Linked DNA regions of Lytechinus pictus. The protein of the gene in region 1 purifies or fractionates together with the protein of each later gene. This does not show direct contact. Links are inferred from orthologs where the notes say so. Each region holds a gene or a part of one and is shown in the gene's direction. Other genes may lie near its edges. The genes, in order: E3 ubiquitin-protein ligase NRDP1-like, protein CLEC16A-like and calcyclin-binding protein-like.

Region 1 (8,205 bases):
AATTTCATCAAAATCGGATGGAAAATAAGAAAGTTGTGACACTTTAAAGTTTTGCTTATTTTTCACAAAACAGTGATATGCACAACTCAAATGAGAAAGTCGATGATGTCCCTCACTCACTATTTCTTTTGTTTATTGTTTGAATTATACAATATTTCATTTATTGTAGATTTGACAATAAGGACCAACTTGACTGAATCATATAGTATCAATCAATGCTCATTCCACATGTTCAGAGAGGAATTAATCATTGTATTTGTTTCACTTGACAATGAGGAGAAAAATAGAATATTCCCCATTTCATATAATGAAATACAAAAGAAATAGTGAGTGGATGACATCATCAGTCTCCTCATTTGCATACCCACCAGGATGTGCATATAACTGTTTTGTAAAATTAAGCAAAACTTTAAAATGTCGTAACTTTCTTATTTTACATCCGTTTTTGATGAAATTTTCAGTGTTATGCTTGTTCGATTTTTCTCTTTTTATTCAAATCAATATTTTATTGGGGTGGACTTGTCCTTTAAATAGACCTAATAATTCTTCTATAAATTGTTCTCCAAAACGACACCTCATAACGTAGCTCATCGTACATGTAGCTACATCGTAACAAAGTGAGTCAAGCCTATTGTAGGAATGGGGGGGGGGTCCGGTGTCCAGACATTTTAAAATTTTGAAACCTTCTTTTTTTGTCTTTGGATTGCACAAAAAATATGAATTCAATAGTGGTAACTATTTTAGTTTTGTTCTTTATGATATTGCTTAAGACTTTGCACAAAAACATTTTAATTTTTTTTTTCTCCTCGTACACAGACGGCTCTCTATCGTGCAGCCACCATTAGGGGTTAACAATGCAAAAATCCCCCCGACGGGGCTCATCAATTTTTGTCTTTATTTCATAAAAATATATAAAAAGAAATGTACCAAAATGAAGATTATTATATTATTCAGTTTTGGCCTGAAAGGCACCAAAATGGGGGAAAATAAACTTAAAAGGGGATAAAACAGTGATTTACTTTGGCTGTCGCGCAACTTCACTTCCCTGTTAGCTGTTTTATCCGAACTTAAATACATAAATAAACATATATGGCCATTGCCATTGTCCCTGAAGAAAGTGTACGTGTAGGCTGTACAGATCGAGCTAGAACTTCGGTCTCTGTGTGATGTGAGTGGAGCCAACGCAGAGTTCAGCGGAACAACCAACATAACAGAGACCCAAGCTTTTGGTCTACACGTCCCTGTAAGTTGTAACACCTATATATGTGAGTGCCCCCCCCCCCCCCCCCCCCCCCGCGGATCGGTCCAACATACCAGTAGTTGGTACAAGATCTCACGGATCCCGTCGGCCTAGAAAGATCTAGAAACATGCACATGCTCCCTAACGACAATCACACACATGACACACATTCAACTTCTATGTGGCAGCCCGATCCGAGTGCGCGACACAGGGACCAGACCGTAACCATAAAATGCGAACTAAAATAACAACACAGTCAATTGCTGTGAAAGTTTTACATAATATAAAAGCAAATTCTACTTCACGACTCTTACTCTTGATTAGTTTCCATTCCATTTTCTTGAGGCGTTTCGGATGTATCAGTGGTTTGAAAATCCGTCTCGTTTCCAGTCGGGTCACCCATTTTCGTCAGATATATCGGAATTGATTCTCGATAAGGTATCTACAATAGGACCAATGAATGAACAAAATTCTAACGAAGTTTCAAATCAGGGGGATTTCAAAGTACTTCCTTTTAGTTCCTCCAAATGCCTTGATCCAGGATTTGCAGGAATATTTGCACCTAAGACATTGGAGGAGAATATGGACCCATGCTTAAGGCCAGTATCTAAAAATTAGGGCCATGTTTAGGGATTTTCCAGCATAAAACCGTACCCCATGTTTAGGGACTAAAAAAAGGCGACCCATTCTCGGTACATCCCCGTATGCCTTATTTCCATCCCCCCCAGTACCCTCCCCCGGGGTCTTAACATTTGTAAGAAATATTCAACAAAATAATTTGGCAGAACTGTTTCTATACCTATTGAATAATATTTTTTCAGTCAAACTTCAACAGGAAATAACCGTCTGTTAATTCTGGTAGTATTTAAAAAAATAACAAATTCTGACATTTTCTATCACAGATCAAGTGTATAGCCAACAATGCATGCAGCGGGAGCCGGAGCGGAACAACCAATGATTGTACGGAGATTCGAGGTCAATCCTAGGGAAGCAAGGGGAGTATACCCCCCCCCCCCCCCCCGAGGCGGAAATCTCTCCCAAAAGGTAGGGGGACAAGGGGCTGGAAAATTTGACAAGCAAAAAAAAAAACGTTATCACCCCAAGTTTAAGGTAATTTCGACGAAAATAAATTTGACAAGCAAAAAAAAAGAAAAAAAAAAAAAGGATATCATCCCAAAAGTAAGGTCATCTCGTCCTAAAATACATGTTTTATTTTGATTTTGAATGATGTATTTCTTACCATCATAAAAGACCAAAAATAGTAGGGGGACATTTGATATTTTGAGTAGGGGGGACACGCCCCCCCCCCTGTCCCCCCCTGGGATTTCCGCCCATGCCCCCCCCCCCAAAAAAAAAAAAAAAAAAAAAAAAAACAAAAAACACCCACAAATTCACTTTTCAGTTGGGGGCGGCAGAACAAAGTTGAAAGGGGGAGGGGCCACCGACCGTGAGGCCGGGGGACAGGGCACTATCTTAAAACAAAGGGGGGGAAACGACTTATCTATCCCCCTCACATGACTCATGAAACTTAAGGCATTATTCTCACAATATTTTTCCTTCATAAAAATGAGAATATTGTTTTCGTAATTGTTTCTTACCAATGATGCTGTTATTGAACACATATACGTTTTCTCCTGCGCAGCGTTTTGTATTGAATAAGAACAGCCTCGTATTCCTCGAGATAATTATATGTGAAATTCATCACTTTAAAGTATCAGGAACACTTGTTCAAAAGGAAACTGGAAGCCATCAGAACATCATTGACTAAACATTTTGAACAAATGGCTCATAAATGGGGCATTTCAATATTATAAGGGCGTATTAGAATAGGGCATTTCATTAGAGATAAAAAGGGATAAATTTCATTATCAAAAAAAAAAGAAGAAGCAAAAGGGGCCAATCATTTTTTTTGTATTAGTATTTATAAAATCATTCAGTTCAAAATCATACAAGTAATACTAGTATATCAACAAAACACTGTTCACAAAGTCAAATAATTATTCATAATACAAACAATTGTACAAAAAAATACAAAATATAACATTCAAATCATCACAAAGTAAATTTGTAAAAAATAAAAAAAAATACAAATGTAACAAAAACCCGGAACAAAAAAGAATTTATAGCGACGCAATTGAACTGAATGAGTATTAGAAGTAAAACACCCTCCCATCCCACCCCCCCCCCCATATCCCATCCAAGCCCAGCCTAAGCGCGGCCTGTTTCCCTCCCCTAAACCCCAGCTAAAAGGCCTTCATTTCAATCTGCATTCTGTACCGCTGCAACCATGCATGATCTAACTTGCGCACCTGAATCTTCACTCTAAATGCAAAAGAGCCACTCCGGCCCCCAATCACACCCCTCCCAAAGAGAGATATAAAAGACTAATAGAAACTCCAGAAGCGGGATCCATATCCCAAGAGCGCGCCATAGCTCTGGAGCGAACAGCGTATATCTATTTTTTATATATATATTTTTTTTTTTACATTTTCACTCCAGAAGGAACCACAATGCACCCCAAAGACTCAAAGCACACCACAAAATGACTGCCCCGATCCACTCCAAGACTGAGTGCGACTACAGGGACCAGACCATCTCCCTCGCATTTAGAGTGTTTAAAGGGGAATCCAACCCAAATAAAAACTTGTTTTTATAAGAAAAAGACAAGTTGATAGGTGAAAGTTTGAACAATATTGGACAAACAACAAGAAAGTTATGAATTTTTAAAATTTGTAAATATTGGTAATCACTATATACTCATGGAGACTTCAAATTGGCCGCATATGGGATGTCATATATAGTGATGTAAGGCAAGGACTACTCTTCCATGTACTTCAATACATATTCTGGCTAAAATGTCATTTTTCCCAAAAGTTTTATTTCAAATTATATTTTTCTTTCATGAGGACATAAAACAATATACTACCTGGGTTATATTTAGATTACTGCCCCAGGGGAATGGGTACTTAGGAGAAAACCACAAATCCCTGATAATAAAGTACATGGCCTATGGGAAAGTTGTCCTTGCCCCTTGTCATAATTCACTTACTCAGTTGCCAATATGAAATCTATACATGCACATACTATTAGTGATCTCAATTTTAAAGCAGCTATAACTTTCTTATTGCTTGTCCGATTTCTTTCAAACTTTCACTATTCTGTTAAGTTTAGTTTTCTCCTTCCCAACACAACATTTTATGGCCAAGGCTGGATTCCCCTTTAATAACTGTATGCTTGAAACTTTCTTTGCCCCAGCATCCCTAAAAAATAAATTTGTCCCATTTTCTGAAATGGTTTGTTAATAGACCTCTCTGTTAAGCTAGTTTTCTTTCTTCTATGAAAGAAAGAAAGAAAGAAAGAACGGAAAGAAAGAAAGAAAGAAAGAAAGAAAGAAAGCGAAAGAAAGAAAAGGAGGAAAGAGGAGAAAAAAGGGAAAGAAAAAACATAGAGAGAAGAAAGGTACAAATGGAAATATCCCACATTGCCCAGCGCATGTTCGAGAGTCCATCACTAAAGCAGGGGCTAAAGCAGGGGCCGCGGAACGGTTTTCAAAGTGGGGGGGGGGGGGGCTGACCATTCAAAAATCACAATCGTATGGTAATTTCTTAATTTTTTTACACGGTTTTGGGAAAAAGTGAGGGGGGGGGGCTGAAGCCCCCCCCCCCCCCCGACCAAGAATGAAGGAGAAAATAAAGCAGGCGCGGATCTAGCTTTTTTCCAAGAGGGAATTTGACCGAGAAATTTGAAAAAAAGGGGGGTTCACTACAAAAGAAGGTCATTTTGGTAGCTAGAAATTTGAAAAGCACAAAAAAGGAGTTGGCTCCAAAGGGGGGGGGGGGGGGTAAACCCCCAACACACTGCCGTGTGTTGCTGTCCTCTACGTTCGTTGGGAGTACCCATATGCCATACGTGTATTTCCAGTTCAGTGATTTACATGTACGAAACCATTTCCTGAAAACACTGGCCAGTAAAAACATCTATTTTACTGATTCTCTACGAAATGACGTGGTCGAAGAAATGGATGTTGGGTGTAGGTAAATTTCATAATTTCAATTTTATTCTGGTGTTAGTAATGATATGTTTTCATCGATTATGAAATATATAAATAAATATAACGAAAATTATATTTTGGCGAATTTGGGTAAAGAAGTTAACTCGCAGAGTCGCAGGCTCGGCTGGGATCGTGCTATGAAACACACGGTAACTCCTGGAGCTCCAATGGGAAATAATAAGATGGCAAATATAGCGATCTTCAACGCTTATATATAAGCGTCGAAATTTGTAGCCATCTCCTTGTATTAGTCTATAATATACGACGTGTCAAATTGTAGCGAACTAGTTCGCCATTTCCAGATCTCCTCTATATATATATATACGAGGGGGAATTGTAGCGAACTAGTTCGCTATTTTCCAGATCTCCTCTATATACAAACGACGGGAAATTGTAGCGAACTAGTTCGCTATTTTTCGGATCTCCTCGATATATACACGAGGGGAATTGTAGCGAACTAGTTCGCTATTTTCCAGATCTCCTCTATATACAAACGACGGGAAATTGTAGCGAACTAGTTCGCTATTTTTCGGATCTCCTCGATATATACACAAGGGGAATTGTAGCGAACTAGTTCGCTATTTTCCAGATCTCCTCTATATACATACTACGGGATTTGTAGCGAACTATATACGAGGGGGCATTGTAGCGAACTACTTCGCTATTTTTTTGATCTCCTCTATATATACACCAGGGGGGAATTGTAGCAAACTAGTTCGCTATTTTTCGGATCTCCTCTACATGTATACGACAGGAAATTGTTGCAAACTAGTTCGCCATTTCTCATCTCCTCTCTAAAATATAAACATGGCAAACTGTAGCGAACTAGTTGGCAATTTTTCTGATCTCTTCATATACACGAGGGGGAAATTGTAGCGAACTAGTTGTCATTTTTTCCAAAGCTTACATTATTGTGAAGGCTTCAAAGTGAAAATCTGCAGGTTTTGGCTGTATATATTGATGCCATATTGTCAAATTGTAGCAGACTAGTTCGCTATTTTCCAGATCTCCTCTATATATATATACGAGGGGGAATTGTAGCGAACCAGTTCGCTATTTTCCAGATCTCCTCTATATCCATACGACGGGATTTGTAGCTAACTAGTTCGCTACTTTTCGGATCTCCTCTATAAAATTATATACACGAGGGGGAATTGTAGCGAACTAGTTCGCTACAATTCCGTCTCTTGTATATATAAAGATTAGAAAAATAGCGAACTAGTTCACTAATTCCTCCTCGTGTATAAAATTTTATAGAGGAGATCCGAAAAATAGCAAACTAGTTCGCTACAATTTTCCGTCGTATATATAAAGAGGAGATCCAAAAAATAGCGAACTAGTTCGCTACAAAAGAAGAGATCCGAAAAATAGCGAACTAGTTCGCTATAATTTCCCGTCGTATATATCGTCGGCGTTCATCCGAACCGTCGTATCAGTCAATTTTGGTCAAAAAATCGATTTTGAGATATTTGCAGAAAATTAATGTACAAGTCCTATTCTATTCATAAATTAATTTCTAGGCAGCAATTTATTTTAGTTTGTGAGATATGATGGAATTTTCACGGCGATGACATACAATTTTTTAATAAAATGCGCAAATCCCATTGGAAACGTCTACTGTAACAGAGCGATACGACGTTTTGACTGACCGCGATTTCAGTGCGCGCGGTCAACCAAGCTGTCGTATCGGCCATCTGCGCTGCATTGACTTTGCACGTGAAAAGCGATACGACGTTTTGACTGACCGCGCGCATTCAAATCGCGGTCAGGGTTGTTGTTTTCCCTATGGCGTTTTCGTACAGGGGAAATCTAAACCACTCAAACCGAAATTACAAGCACGGAGTTCTTTTGAGATATTTTCTATAATCCTTGGTTTTGTGCAAAGATAAGGATACCATTGTCAAGCAATTATCTTGGTCTTTCCAACCATGTATTTTTCTAGCAATGAATATGTTGTAAGCCCGGAGAACTAAGTGTGAAAATCATAGTAACTTTGAAGTCGATTTTCTCTGAAATGGGTTTTCAACCGTCGTATGTGGATACGACGGTTCGGATGACCGCCGACGAATATATAAAGAGGAGATCCAAAAAATAGCGAACTAGTTCGCTACAAAAGAAGAGATCCGAAAAATAGCGAACTAGTTCGCTATAATTTCCCGTCGTATATATATAAAGAGGAGATCTGGAAAATAGCGAACTAGTTCGCTATGATTTCCCGTCGTATATATAGGGAGAGGAAATCCGAAAAATAGCGAACAAATCCCGTAGTATGTATCTAGAGGAGATCTGGAAAATAGCGAACTAGTTCGCTACAATTCCCCCTCGTGTATATATCGAGGAGATCCGAAAAATAGCGAACTAGTTCGCTACAATTTTCTGTCGTATATAGAGGAGATCCGAAAAATAGCGAACTAGTTCGCTACAAAAGAAGAGATCCGAAAAATAGCGAACTAGTTCGCTACAATTTCCCGTCGTATATATATATAGAGGAGATCTGGAAAATAGCGAACTAGTTCGCTACAATTTCCCGTCGTATATATATATAGAGGAAATCCGAAAAATAGCGAACTAGTTCGCTACAAATCCCGTAGTATGTATCTAGAGGAGATCTGGAAAATAGCGAACTAGTTCGCTACAATTCCCCCTCGTGTATATATCGAGGAGATCCGAAAAATAGCGAACTAGTTCGCTACAATTTTCTGTCGTATATAGAGGAGATCCGAAAAATAGCGAACTAGTTCGCTACAAAAGAAGAGATCCGAAAAATAGCGAACTAGTTCGCTACAATTTCCCGTCGTATATATATATAGAGGAGATCTGGAAAATAGCGAACTAGTTCGCTACAATTTCCCGTCGTATATATATATAGAGGAAATCCGAAAAATAGCGAACTAGTTCGCTACAAATCCCGTAG
Region 2 (7,227 bases), on another chromosome or scaffold:
TTTTTTATATCCTCTGGATCATTTCCACTCATAGCTCATTCCACAGAACAATCTTGAATCAAACGTACTATTCTTCTCGGCCTTCCGAGTTGTTCTCTATATTTAATTACGCTAGAGTTTATCGTCACACATACAAACGCAATTCGCAAGTGAGTTGAAGACAGCAAGAAAGGTATGCGGTACGGTAGCTCGACAGCTAGCTGAGCCGGAGCGGGCGGCCGGTCGGCACAATGCGATTCCGCAACCAACCGTATTTTTTGCAAGAGCCGCGTCACACGCGGATAAATATGTCATAATAACACGTCTGCTATGTTATCGACTGGTGAGAAGATCTCGATCGCATTTCATATTATTCGCCTTGAAATTATTCCTTTAGGGTCTATGGTATCATTCTGAGGGAATTTACATATTTGGAATAATAGTACGGCCATAAATATACTTTTAATCATTTCCTCTTTGCAAGTTCTCCGGCTCGCAGATACAACTTCAACTGCAGTTTATTCCATTATGACTAGTTTCGCCACGGACACAGTCCCGAACGTAAACAAGGCATTAAAATCGTCTAAAATCGCTACAAAGAAGAACAGTTTTAACAATGTAGGGATATATTATTGACTATATGTCTTTGAATAATTATTACTTCCTTTCAGTATCGTTCACATAAAATCAATAGCGATAAAATGAAATTTGACACAAAAGTAAATATGAAGGCGTACTTGCATAGTACACAAAACGGCACTGCCTTGTTTACTACAACGGGACCCCCGTGACGTCACAGTCAAAGAACACCCGTCTCGGTAGGCATTGCAGGAGCCAACTCAGGGAAAATGGGTAGGGATAAATCGTTCAAATTCACTATTTTGAAAAAAGAAAATGGGGGGTCGAATCACCTCTTAGTGTTTGGGGGGTTGTAAGGTTGCTATTAATGTAAATATCTCAATATTTGGAATCGTCTTCTTAATTCAACTTTAACCAAGGTTAAATTTTTGAAATTTCATCATAACTTAAAAAGTATATGGACCTAGTTATCAAGTATGAATGATTGTTTTGCACATGTCTTTGGTCTCATGGTCAAAGGTCATTTTGGGTCAATGGGCATAATATTTTATTATCATATTAGTGTTTTTTTCTGTGAATAATATTCATTAGCTATTTTCAAAAGAAGCACTGCTGCTATATCGCATTGCGTAATGCAGGCGAGACTGCCAGAGTCGTTCCACTTGTTATTGTCGGATGTTACTTTTCCTCTTCCTGATCGTGTGTTAAAGATTTTATATGGAGAAGGGAATACTGGAGTTTTGTGAAATAGAGAGGCATAACTGCATGTATAGTGTATATATTATGATTCAAGTTCTGGGGCAGATTTTCTACCCAACATTCTCTATACGTATGCTGGTAGTCTACACATTCATTGATTATGTGTGTACAACCCTAGCAGAGCACGGAGCAATGTAAACATGAATTTCTACCAGGCACCTTGCTGCATCACAATGGTAACCTGATAAGACATCGATCAAAGTATTGGGTTTTTTTCACATATCCTTCAAATTTGGTCAGATTTTACTGGATGAAGTAACATTTTCCATTTTACCTTGTTGTGATAAAATTTAGCTATTTTGACCTAATTATTTCATTGAAAATATTTTTTTTTAGAAAAAGAATAGAAGTAAGAAATTAGGGATATGAAAGAACATGAAAGTCAAACATCAAGCAAATTCATGCTCATTGGAGTCATACAGGTCACTTTTTTTGTGTTAGAAAATCACTTTACACCGTATGCTATCTTGAGGGGGAAGAATTCTGAATTATGTTTCAGATCAATGAATATGTAATGATCCAAGCTTTATGACATCCTACATTAATCCGATGCCTACTTGAATATTGAATCTCAAATCACTGTCCTCCGTGGAAGTGATATTTTTCATCAATAATGAATTGATTTGACCCAGGAATTATTGGCCAAAGTACAATGCAGGCAAATCGGAGGCCTAAAGAATCGGGTAGGGTGTGGGAATCTCAGTTTGTCTGAATATTGGTGTTTATTTTGTTTTCAGTTTTTGATAATTGAGTGTTTGCCTTGTAAAGGGAAGAAAACAGTTATTGCTGATTTATATAAGGACTTTTTCTGTTAATCACTTTCAAACACCTTGATCTGTTTTGAACATCTAGGCCTACATTACATACATGTATATACAGTACTTTGTGTGAAGTGTGATCAAGCATCGAAATTTATCAATTTGTGATTGAAAAATGAATTTAGCTGGTAAAATTGCCCCATGGTTTATAGTACATATTAGTTTTGATAAACATACATGAAACAGGCAGTACTGTCGAGAAAAAAAAGGAAACTATTTGTAAAGTTTAAATATCACAAATTTCCCCCATTGATTTGTGGTAGATGAACATGGTTGGAGCTTGTTTCAATTAAGTTTTAATAATCTTCATATTATGCATTCTACATGCATGTACGTGTAGAGTGCTTCTTTAAAATGATAAAGTCTTGTACCATTCAGCCTGAGCTGAGAGATATTGATTTTACATGGTACCCTCGGCATTGCCATGTGATTTGCAGGGCTTATAATGGATGCGAATAAAGGATTTCCTTTCTTGTACCTGAGGGTAGCTGCAGATGAATAGATTGAATACTGATATTATGCAGCGCATCGTGATTAGGAGTGAGAAAGATGATCAGATTTATTCTGCTTGGAGTGACAAGAGTTTGTTGAGAGATAGTGAAGGTAGATGGAGTGGTGATGATGGTTGTGACAAATGAGATGGTGGTGGTGATGGTGAAGATGAAGATAATGACATTAATGATATGAAGGTGATAATGATGATGTTGAAGTTGTTGATGATCATGATGATGGTGGTGGTGATGATGTTGATGATGATGATGTTGATGTTATTGATTGATTAAGAGGAGGATGGTGATGGTCTTGATGATAATGTCCACGGTGATCATGAATTTAGATTGATGGTGGTTATGATCATGGTGATGATGATGATTATGATCATGGTGGTAGTAGTGCATGGTGATGGTGGTGGTGATGATGATGATGATGGTGGTGGTGATGATGATGATGATAATGATGTTGATGATATGACAATCAGAACGTTGATGTGATTGATTTTGGAGGAGGATGGTGATGACCTTAATGATGATGTCCATGGTGATCATGAATCAAGATTGCTGTTAAAGATTTATTTTTTTTAGATTGGATTTGTATCCCCACCCTCTTCTTTCTGTCATACCTCCCCTTTTTATGATGAGACAGTTTTAATTAAGAAAATATTCTATCAATATGTAAATCCAATCGATCATGAAATCTAGGATATTGTCCCTTAAAAGACTCAATTTTGTGAAGTATCATTGATTATGCATGCAATGTTAATAGCTCCTTATGTGACACATGTATCATATTACTCCATTAAATCATTTACAAAATTACAGTATGTATATCTATCGCCATCCCTCTTCCACCAATCATGCATCATCACTCTCTTTCTCCCAATCTCTTGGAACGTTCTCCCTGAATATTTAATAATGCCCTCAGATTTTGTTATCACACTCTGTTTATTACAATCTATACCTTAGAGATTCCTTTATTTGGACAAGCTGCCAGTACCTCTTCTGCAGAAAGAGGGGACATGGCTTTAAAATAAACACATACAGGCCTGATTGCAGTGCTGTTCAATGCAATTTCTCATAAGCAGAAATCAGTATTGAAATATTGTATCAAATTATTTTTAATGTACAGTATCAAACAACATGTATGCATTCATGTATTTTTTATGTCTTGAAATTGGCCAAGCTGAGATTTATGACATCACAATGAAAGCATAGATCTATTAACATTCTCTTTGAATAAATTATAAAATTAAGTTTACATGTATGTTTGCCAAGTGCTGCGGAGGTAGGCCTGCTGTTGATTGAAATTCTAAAATGGCAAGATGAGAAATATACATGTGCATTTTTTAATGCAGGAAGGAATCTGTTTTGTTTCTTCTGGTCTTACTGAGCTTATGAAAAAGTGACATTGTAGATTATTGTTTTCTTGTGATAATGGTGATCATAGTGGGCATTATTTAAAAAATAGTACAAGGTAAAAAAATATATGATAGATGTACATTTTTCTTTGTTTGTTCTGTAGGCTGCTCCATGGAGTACTGATGCGGAATGCCACGGTAACAGAGCAAAACAGAAGCCTCCTGGTGGAGACATTGAGATCCATGTCAGAGATCCTCATCTGGGGAGATCAGAATGACAGCTCCGTCTTTGAGTAAGTTTGGTTCCAAATGGGAGCAAGAAAATTTGTAAGGAGAATGAAGAAAATAATGACTTTCGAAGTATTCAGCTGTCAAATTAATATTAGGAGAGGAATAGGTTTTTAGTCGACAAATCAGATGTGCAGAGTTGGAGTGTGCAGGGCTTGAGTAAAAAAAAAGTAACCTAATGCATTTCTTTCCCATTTTTTCTACATCTCTAATTTGTGAAGGTTATTATTAATTCCATTGTCATAAGTGTAGTGACATTATAATAGTGAAAATAACTTCTTCTTTATTCATTCCTTACAGTTTCTTCTTGGAGAAAAACATGTTGTTGTTTTTCTTGAAGATTTTACGACAGAAGACAGGAAGCTACATCTGTGTTCAGCTTCTCCAGACTCTTAACATCCTCTTTGAGAATATACGAAATGAAACATCCTTATGTGAGTTTTTAAATATTTTTATATAATATAGTGAATATAAGGTTGACAGCCTAATATAAGAGTAAACTATGTCTACCAGTACCAGCAGTTGCTCTGCTTCTCAGATATTCTAATACTACATTAACATGTGTTTGGTCTGCTATATCAATTTGGTCTAGATGTTGTTTGAAGGTTTGCATGGTGGCATGTACAATCGCTGATGTGGTTTACGGTACACCATGTGGAGTGTTATAGAAACAGTGGATAGAAGAAGAAAAGAAATGGATAGGCGAGAAAGTGGAAATTTGAGAGTAGAGTAACCTTTCTTGAATGTAGTCCTGAAAAGGACTGTAAACCAGAAGAGATTGATGAGTTGAAAACAGCTTGAGTAGTAGGATGGATGAGGAGATGCTGGCTTAAGTCGGCGAGTAGAGATGATGAGTAGAAGCAGTAGAGACTCGACATTTCGGGCAGGTTGACTGTCCGTCTTCAGGAGTGAGTGTTCACTCGGTGTGCGGCGGTACTTGTGGAGTACGTGCGGACGTGGGGGAAAGCGCTGGGCTTGCAACTTGCAATTAGACTGTTGTAGTGGTCTAGTTGCCACTTGGTTTTACACTACACAGTCTCATGTCCACTGAGTAGTAAAATCGTCTGCTTATTACTGTGATGATAATTTGGCTCATGATCATTTTCATCTAACCATATTAGACCAAAGTGGTATTAATACTAGATATCAGATGAAATGGGTAGACTATGTCCTAACTGGAAATTAGACTAAATGGCAATTAGACCAAATAGTTAGAAGATGAACTGGTTGTAGACAAACAAGGATTAGACCATGTAGGATGGATGCAAGGGAAAGTAGATAATGGGGGTGGCAGATCAGCAATTTACGATGGACACATATTTTCAGTACGTATACGAGATTTTAGTACACACTTTAGAATATTTTGAGTTTGAGGATATATTGTTGCATTTATTACAACTTATTGAATTGATTTAAAAAAAGCACAAACAAACATGTAACATAATGATGCAATCCAATCCAGTAGTCATTTGATGTAGGACCTTTTTTCCTTTTGGTTACAAAGCACTGCACACACTACTCCATGTTTGGGCTGCTAAAACAATAATTCAACACCTCAGAGGAATGAACAAAATCAGTGACATAAACACATTGTAAATGTGAAAATGGAGGTAGTACAATCTAGTTTTGATTTGCCATCTTGATCATGTGTACATTCATGTATTATGGAACATGAAAATATACAATTATAATTAATCTTAGTTATGAATGATATATAAAGGAGACAGGCAAATGATATGATGATTTTTAATTTGCCCTCTGTTCCTTTATCTTTTTACTTGTACATAAAATATAACTTAAAAAAAAAACAAGAAAATAATAATTGAGTTTTTTTTCTTGTGAATTTATCAGATTATCTTCTGTCCAATAACCATGTCAACTCAATCATCGTCCACAAGTTTGACTTCTCCGATGAGGAAGTAAGTTACCCTAATCATATGTTACTCCATCTCTACATGCAATCTACTTCATATTGAGGATAATGTTTCATTTTATATGCTATTCCCTTAATATCTGTAATGTGATGTATGGTGTCATTTCTGTTTTAAAACAAATATATTTGCAGACTCCAATACAAAGTGAGCAAACAAATGTTTGGCAAAAAATGTCAGTTGTATGCATAGTTTTTTTTTTCTTTTTTGAAATGAAATATTGAGTATTATGTATATTATATATTTTCTTTGCAATCTTGGTTTATATTTCCTGTCTACAATAGCCATGTGTAGATCATGAGATAATTTTGTAACTGGCATTGCAATGGTAAGAAAAGTGATCAACAACAAGCTTTGCAAATTAAGTATTGATTATGATAAGATATTAAAACTTGGTCAGGAAAAGCACTAAAAAAGTTAAGCATATTTAACACAATAGAAATGACAAAGCCTCTATCATTCATAATCAAATTCACAAAAATATGTCATGCCTTACTACTTTGGAGTCCCAATTGAACCACCTTGTGAGGCTTTACAACCCACAAGATATTTCATGAAGCTGTTTGTAAGTTTTGAATGACTATAATACATGTGACTGGTTGCCTGTTATTATGTGCTATTACGTATAAAGGTTCTCAAAGATTGTGATTCATTGCGAAGTTAAAATCCAATCTATTTCGATTCAAATTCATGTTGATAACAAGCATCTGAATGCCAAGTGCACTTTTTCATTTAATTATTGAAATTTACTACCACTATCTAAACAAGAAAATTTCAGCACGAGACCATGTCACAAGTCTGAAGTTGTGCGTAACTAACAGCTATGAAACACCCACCAAAGTTTGTATTTATCTTATTCCTGGATCATACAGCGCTCTGATTTTGATTTTCATTCTTTCTCTGCTTCAGGTGCTAGCATACTACATCTCCTTCTTGAAGACTCTATCCTTCAAGCTCAACAAACATACCATCCACTTCTTCTACAATGAGGTAAGTTTGTAGCCTTTGTGTCTTTCATACT
Region 3 (7,296 bases), on another chromosome or scaffold:
AGTTCACCTCAGAACAATGTTGATTTGAATTAATAGAGAAAAATCAGACAAGCACAATGCTGAAAATTTCATCAAAATCGAATGTAAAATAAGAAAGTTATGACATTTCAAAGTTTCGCTTATTTTCAACAAAATAGTTATATGAACGAGCCAGTTACACCCAAATGAGAGAGTCGATGATGTCACTCACTCACTATTTCTTTTGTTTTTTATTGTTTGAATTATACAATATTTCAATTTTTACGAATTTGACGATTAGGACCTCCTTGCCTGAAGCACAAAATGTTAAAATAATGGAATCCCACGAGTTCAGGGAGGAATGAAACTTCATTTCACATGACAATGTCGAGAAAATAAAAATATTTCATATTTCATATAATACAATACAAAAGAAATAGTGAGTGAGTGATGTCATCAACTCTCTCATTTGGATGTAACTGGCTCGTTCATATAACTATTTTGTTGAAAATAAGCGAAACTTTAAAATGCCATAACTTTTTTATTTTACATCCGATTTTGATGAAATTTTCAGTGTTATGCTTGTTGAATTTTTCTCTTTTTATTCAAATCAAGTTTTTGTTGGGGTGGACTTGTCCTTTAATCAAATGTGTCACTTTCTGTACGTTTGGCAATATTCCCTGTTTTCTTGAACTAAAAATAATATACCGCGGTACTTAATTAAGAATATAATATAATTTATTAAATATTTGTTAAAAACGCCCACACAGATAATTTCCAGGACTATGCAGCCTGTTTACCTCGTATGAAAAAAAAAATGGTCTCGAAATGAGCACTACATGAAAATTTCTCCTTGCTCATATAACCCGGACTCAAAAAAGATCAAACTTGCTTTTCACATATATTTCATTCAAAACTTAACTTTTCTCCCTTAATTTCCAGTTAGCCCTCAATCCCTTATCATTGGTAATGTTGTAATGTTATCAATGTTTGTATATTCTTCATCATAATACTATTGTAAATATGAATTTGAAATTGAAAGCGGAAAATAAAACAATTTTTGAATTTAAATCCCTATCTCTTTTCCTTTTCATTACTGTCAGTCTTTTTCATTCAAATTCTTATATATTCACTCTTTCCTTCTTTTGTTAATTTCTCTACTCTGTAATGTAGATGACGTGATTTACAACTCAAATAACACATCCATCTACACATGTATCCATACACGATACATTCTGCCCTGGTACAACTATCTGTATTTGAACAAATAAACAAAACTAAAACAAAAATGAAGCAATTAACCAACACATCCATAGTATTAAGAAAGGTATATGCATTGATTTGTTCCCATTTTCTTAAGTGCACCCCATCAGCTTCCCCTAATTTTAAACTCTATTTGATATTCCGTATCTCTATATTCTTTAAAGGTCAAGTTCACCTCAGAACAATGTTGATTTGAATTAATAGAGAAAAATCAGACAAGCACAATGCTGAAAATTTCATCAAAATCGAATGTAAAATAAGAAAGTTATGACATTTCAAAGTTTCGCTTATTTTCAACAAAATAGTTATATGAACGAGCCAGTTACACCCAAATGAGAGAGTCGATGATGTCACTCACTCACTATTTCTTTTGTTTTTTATTGTTTGAATTATACAATATTTCAATTTTTACGAATTTGACGATTAGGACCTCCTTGCCTGAAGCACAAAATGTTAAAATAATGGAATCCCACGAGTTCAGGGAGGAATGAAACTTCATTTCACATGACAATGTCGAGAAAATAAAAATATTTCATATTTCATATAATACAATACAAAAGAAATAGTGAGTGAGTGATGTCATCAACTCTCTCATTTGGATGTAACTGGCTCGTTCATATAACTATTTTGTTGAAAATAAGCGAAACTTTAAAATGCCATAACTTTTTTATTTTACATCCGATTTTGATGAAATTTTCAGTGTTATGCTTGTTGAATTTTTCTCTTTTTATTCAAATCAAGTTTTTGTTGGGGTGGACTTGTCCTTTAATCAAATGTGTCACTTTCTGTACGTTTGGCAATATTCCCTGTTTTCTTGAACTAAAAATAATATACCGCGGTACTTAATTAAGAATATAATATAATTTATTAAATATTTGTTAAAAACGCCCACACAGATAATTTCCAGGACTATGCAGCCTGTTTACCTCGTATGAAAAAAAAAAATGGTCTCGAAATGAGCACTACATGAAAATTTCTCCTTGCTCATATAACCCGGACTCAAAAAAGATCAAACTTGCTTTTCACATATATTTCATTCAAAACTTAACTTTTCTCCCTTAATTTCCAGTTAGCCCTCAATCCCTTATCATTGGTAATGTTGTAATGTTATCAATGTTTGTATATTCTTCATCATAATACTATTGTAAATATGAATTTGAAATTGAAAGCGGAAAATAAAACAATTTTTGAATTTAAATCCCTATCTCTTTTCCTTTTCATTACTGTCAGTCTTTTTCATTCAAATTCTTATATATTCACTCTTTCCTTCTTTTGTTAATTTCTCTACTCTGTAATGTAGATGACGTGATTTACAACTCAAATAACACATCCATCTACACATGTATCCATACACGATACATTCTGCCCTGGTACAACTATCTGTATTTGAACAAATAAACAAAACTAAAACAAAAATGAAGCAATTAACCAACACATCCATAGTATTAAGAAAGGTATATGCATTGATTTGTTCCCATTTTCTTAAGTGCACCCCATCAGCTTCCCCTAATTTTAAACTCTATTTGATATTCCGTATCTCTATATTCTTTAAAGGTCAAGTTCACCTCAGAACAATGTTGATTTGAATTAATAGAGAAAAATCAGACAAGCACAATGCTGAAAATTTCATCAAAATCGAATGTAAAATAAGAAAGTTATGACATTTCAAAGTTTCGCTTATTTTCAACAAAATAGTTATATGAACGAGCCAGTTACACCCAAATGAGAGAGTCGATGATGTCACTCACTCACTATTTCTTTTGTTTTTTATTGTTTGAATTATACAATATTTCAATTTTTACGAATTTGACGATTAGGACCTCCTTGCCTGAAGCACAAAATGTTAAAATAATGGAATCCCACGAGTTCAGGGAGGAATGAAACTTCATTTCACATGACAATGTCGAGAAAATAAAAATATTTCATATTTCATATAATACAATACAAAAGAAATAGTGAGTGAGTGATGTCATCAACTCTCTCATTTGGATGTAACTGGCTCGTTCATATAACTATTTTGTTGAAAATAAGCGAAACTTTAAAATGCCATAACTTTTTTATTTTACATCCGATTTTGATGAAATTTTCAGTGTTATGCTTGTTGAATTTTTCTCTTTTTATTCAAATCAAGTTTTTGTTGGGGTGGACTTGTCCTTTAATCAAATGTGTCACTTTCTGTACGTTTGGCAATATTCCCTGTTTTCTTGAACTAAAAATAATATACCGCGGTACTTAATTAAGAATATAATATAATTTATTAAATATTTGTTAAAAACGCCCACACAGATAATTTCCAGGACTATGCAGCCTGTTTACCTCGTATGAAAAAAAAAAATGGTCTCGAAATGAGCACTACATGAAAATTTCTCCTTGCTCATATAACCCGGACTCAAAAAAGATCAAACTTGCTTTTCACATATATTTCATTCAAAACTTAACTTTTCTCCCTTAATTTCCAGTTAGCCCTCAATCCCTTATCATTGGTAATGTTGTAATGTTATCAATGTTTGTATATTCTTCATCATAATACTATTGTAAATATGAATTTGAAATTGAAAGCGGAAAATAAAACAATTTTTGAATTTAAATCCCTATCTCTTTTCCTTTTCATTACTGTCAGTCTTTTTCATTCAAATTCTTATATATTCACTCTTTCCTTCTTTTGTTAATTTCTCTACTCTGTAATGTAGATGACGTGATTTACAACTCAAATAACGTTGACAATCTATTTTAACTTGTTATTATTTTTTCAGCTACCATGTAAGAATATTTGAATTGAAGGAAGTTATAATGAACCATAGAGATATATACTCATGTAATGAACTATAGTAGGCCTATTAGTGCTTCTGCAGCAGCTAATGGGGGAGACTGCTCGATCCGGGGCTCGATCATCACCTGTGAAGTCACAAATGAAAAAAAAATACGCATATTAAATTGATAACTTTTTAAAATATTTAATATATCTATAATCTATACACATGCACCAATATTTCGAATATTTTTCCGCTATTCTTACAATAAACTTTTTGTCAGGAATCTCGACGCCCTTAGCCCTTTGAAGAAAGACTAATCAGCGATCGTAGAATTAAAACGTGCATCTATATATATATATCTATATCTCGAGGCGAGGGTTTATACTTGCAACATTACGACAACGTACGAATCTTCTGAAGTTTTTGTCAAGATGGCTAGTGAGGTAGAGATATATTACTTTTATAATTTGGCTACTTGAGACTAAAGTAAAGGTATTTTATTAGAGGAGCGACCATTCGTTTGACGGTGCTTTTTCGGGCATTGATTTACAATTGCACGATACATTCGCGTTGCGCAATATATCGGATAATGGGGAATTCCCACACTCCACCGAGCCATGTCGGCTTACCGATTCTTCATCGTGTGTAATTAATTACGCGTGCAAGTGAATGGCTAGTTATCACGGTTCCGTGATTTTTTGGATCAGGATGTATATGATTGATGGTGGTCTTTGCACCTAACGGATTTGAGTTAAGATTTAACTTGAATTTATTTTTATTTCACAAAATCTTGTTTCAGTTGGGAACGTTCCTTACATACATCATTATGAATTTACTAGAAACTAGTCAGTGTGCCAAATAAATAGACATGATAAATAGGCCGCTAACGTTAGACCCAATCTAACGTACGTTAGGGCTTAGGCCACTCTAGGCGACACCCCAATACTTACCCGTGTTAATAAACTGGGACTCCACTCACACGCATTTGGGGCGCCCTAGCTTAGAACTAAGCTTTGTTTTACTAAAAAATAAATATTCTAATCTTATGATTCAATAAATGTTACTTAATAAATTAGTACTGTTAAATCGGTACCCACCGGTTCTTTTCTTGAATTTTCTGGCAATTTCCCACGCTTCTGGCTTCAATTCTGCAACTGCTCCTGTCGCGGTAGACAGCTACATATGCAACTTTATTTATAAATGGAGCGCCCCTTACGAGAGTTGTTAATGCCGCGGAGAAATCGCTAGGCATTTTTGCCTGTGTGTTCAAGGCGTAGCTGTTCTATTTTTTTTTTATAGGTATGAATACTATGACTATGAGATCGAAATCACAGCGAACTCGTATTTACACTCTTCCATAATGATTCCGAAAGAGAGGCGCATCACCCCCACCCACATGGGCGCAATTCCCATGTCCCCCTCACCCAAAATAGTCGGGGGCACATTATGAAATGCCCCTCTACTATTTTTGGTCTTTTAATTCAAAATCGAAATAAAACATGTATTTTGGAAGAGACGATCTTACTTTTGGGGTGCCCTTTTTTTTTGGGGGGGGGCTTGTTTGCTTGTCAAATTTCTTTTGGTCAAGATGACCTTCTTTTAATTGGGGTGATAAACCTTTTTTTTTTTTTGGCTTGTCAAATTTTCCAGCCCCTAGTCCCCCTACCTTTGGGGAGAGATTTCCACCCTTGCCTAACACTACTCTTGATATTGTTTGCGAATCTGCACGGGCGTCGGGGGCTGGGGGATGAGGAAAAGCAATGAGACAAGAAAAAAATAGAAGGGAAAAGAGGACAGAAATAAAGTGAACGAAAGATAAATTAATGGAAAATAAAAGGGAGGAGAAAATAGTGAGAAAAGTGATGGGTAGGTCGAGATTTTATGTGCCCGTGCAAAAAGAAATGAGCAGAGGTTAAGATGTTGTCCGTTTGGGCAAATGTTTGTCTGTTTGTTGGACTGGCGCCTGTTGCAAAAATTATTAAGCTGATTGAATCAGGACTAAATGTTCCAACTGCTTCATGAGGATTTAGCGGTTGTAGGTATAAATCCGTATAAATCGCACTCTAACGCTCCAAAACTGTGTTCCGGGCTGTGTTCTGAAAAGTTGTCCTTCATATTCATTTCCGCAAAAGAATATAAAGTTTTCAATCAATTGTCTATAGTTATCCCGTTTATGATGAAAAAATACTTAGAAATTGGGTTAGGTTAGGGTTAAAAATTATCAGGGCACAAAATACATTTTTTCAGCTCGAGCGTCGAGCTGGCATTATTTGATCTGTGAGATTATGTTTTTAATGACATTCATTCTATTCACAGCAATATGTTATTAAACATTGCCGCACGCGCTGCGTGCCGCATGAATTATAGATAGGTCTATACTTATCAGGTGAATGCTTTACCGCTTCACACTGATCATGCTGATACTGTTTTGTAAATTAAAGGGGAATTTCACCTTGATAAAAATATTGCGATAATAAGAAAAATAATTTCAAAATATCGGTGAAGGTGTTATTTTTTTTTTTAAATTGGAGTTAATAGAATTTCAAATGCTTGATTTGTGACGCCATAAACAAACAGTTGCTCTATATTCTATGTAATATAAAATGCCAAAATTTCCCATTTTTAAAGGTCCGTAATGACCCACTTTTTTTCTTTTTGGAACGAGTAGGGGTATGAAGTTATCTATTGAAATACTGAATGTACAATAAAAGTCATTATCATGTATTTCTTGACATTTCATTTACTTTTTTTTACCATAATTATATCCTAAAGCTGCTCGCATAGGCCTACGCCGTCACAAATAATATTTTTTAAAATCTCACCTTGAATTTTTTTTTTTGGGTGGGGGATGGATTTTCCTCGAACACATACCAATTTTTCAAATTATTTTTTTCTGCTATTTCCATAATAAACTTTAAATGAATTCACCTTTGCACTACTTAATTTTTGTCTCACCTGCATAGCAGAGTGAGACTATAGGCGCCGCTTTTCCGACGGCGGCGGCGGCGGCGTCAACACCAAATCTTAACCTGAGGTTAAGTTTTTGAAATGACAGCATAACTTAGAAAGTGTATGGACCTAGTTCATGAAACTTGGCCATAAGGTTAATCAAGTATTACTGAACATCCTGCCTGAGTTTCATGTCACATGACCAAGGTCAAAGGTCATTTAGGGTCAATGAACTTAGACCATGTTGGGGGAATCAACATCAAAATCTTAACCTAAGGTTAAGTTTTTGAAATGTCATCATAACTTAGAAAATATATGGACCTAGTTCATGAAACTTATACATAAGGTTAATCAAGTATCACTAAACATCCTG

Evidence for each region.
Region 2: the proteins of E3 ubiquitin-protein ligase NRDP1-like (region 1) and protein CLEC16A-like purify together in Homo sapiens (affinity purification with mass spectrometry; 3 studies listed by BioGRID and IntAct, with this or other methods). This does not show direct contact. The link is inferred for Lytechinus pictus from reciprocal best matches to the Homo sapiens genes RNF41 and CLEC16A.
Region 3: the proteins of E3 ubiquitin-protein ligase NRDP1-like (region 1) and calcyclin-binding protein-like purify together in Homo sapiens (affinity purification with mass spectrometry; 4 studies listed by BioGRID and IntAct, with this or other methods). This does not show direct contact. The link is inferred for Lytechinus pictus from reciprocal best matches to the Homo sapiens genes RNF41 and CACYBP.

Annotation. Positions count from the first base shown.
Region 1 is NC_087245.1:11,896,593-11,904,797, forward strand, and holds the start of E3 ubiquitin-protein ligase NRDP1-like, read left to right. Parts: upstream 1-5,149; 5' UTR 5,150-5,270; intron 5,271-8,205. UniProt on the Homo sapiens protein: Acts as E3 ubiquitin-protein ligase and regulates the degradation of target proteins. Polyubiquitinates MYD88. Negatively regulates MYD88-dependent production of pro-inflammatory cytokines.
Region 2 is NC_087254.1:30,668,251-30,675,477, forward strand, and holds the start of protein CLEC16A-like, read left to right. Parts: upstream 1-4,156; 5' UTR 4,157-4,170; coding exon 4,171-4,280; intron 4,281-4,575; coding exon 4,576-4,709; intron 4,710-6,126; coding exon 6,127-6,194; intron 6,195-7,115; coding exon 7,116-7,196; intron 7,197-7,227. UniProt on the Homo sapiens protein: Regulator of mitophagy through the upstream regulation of the RNF41/NRDP1-PRKN pathway. Mitophagy is a selective form of autophagy necessary for mitochondrial quality control.
Region 3 is NC_087252.1:32,822,262-32,829,557, reverse strand, and holds the start of calcyclin-binding protein-like, read left to right. Parts: upstream 1-4,295; 5' UTR 4,296-4,405; coding exon 4,406-4,417; intron 4,418-7,296. UniProt on the Homo sapiens protein: May be involved in calcium-dependent ubiquitination and subsequent proteasomal degradation of target proteins. Probably serves as a molecular bridge in ubiquitin E3 complexes. Participates in the ubiquitin-mediated degradation of beta-catenin (CTNNB1).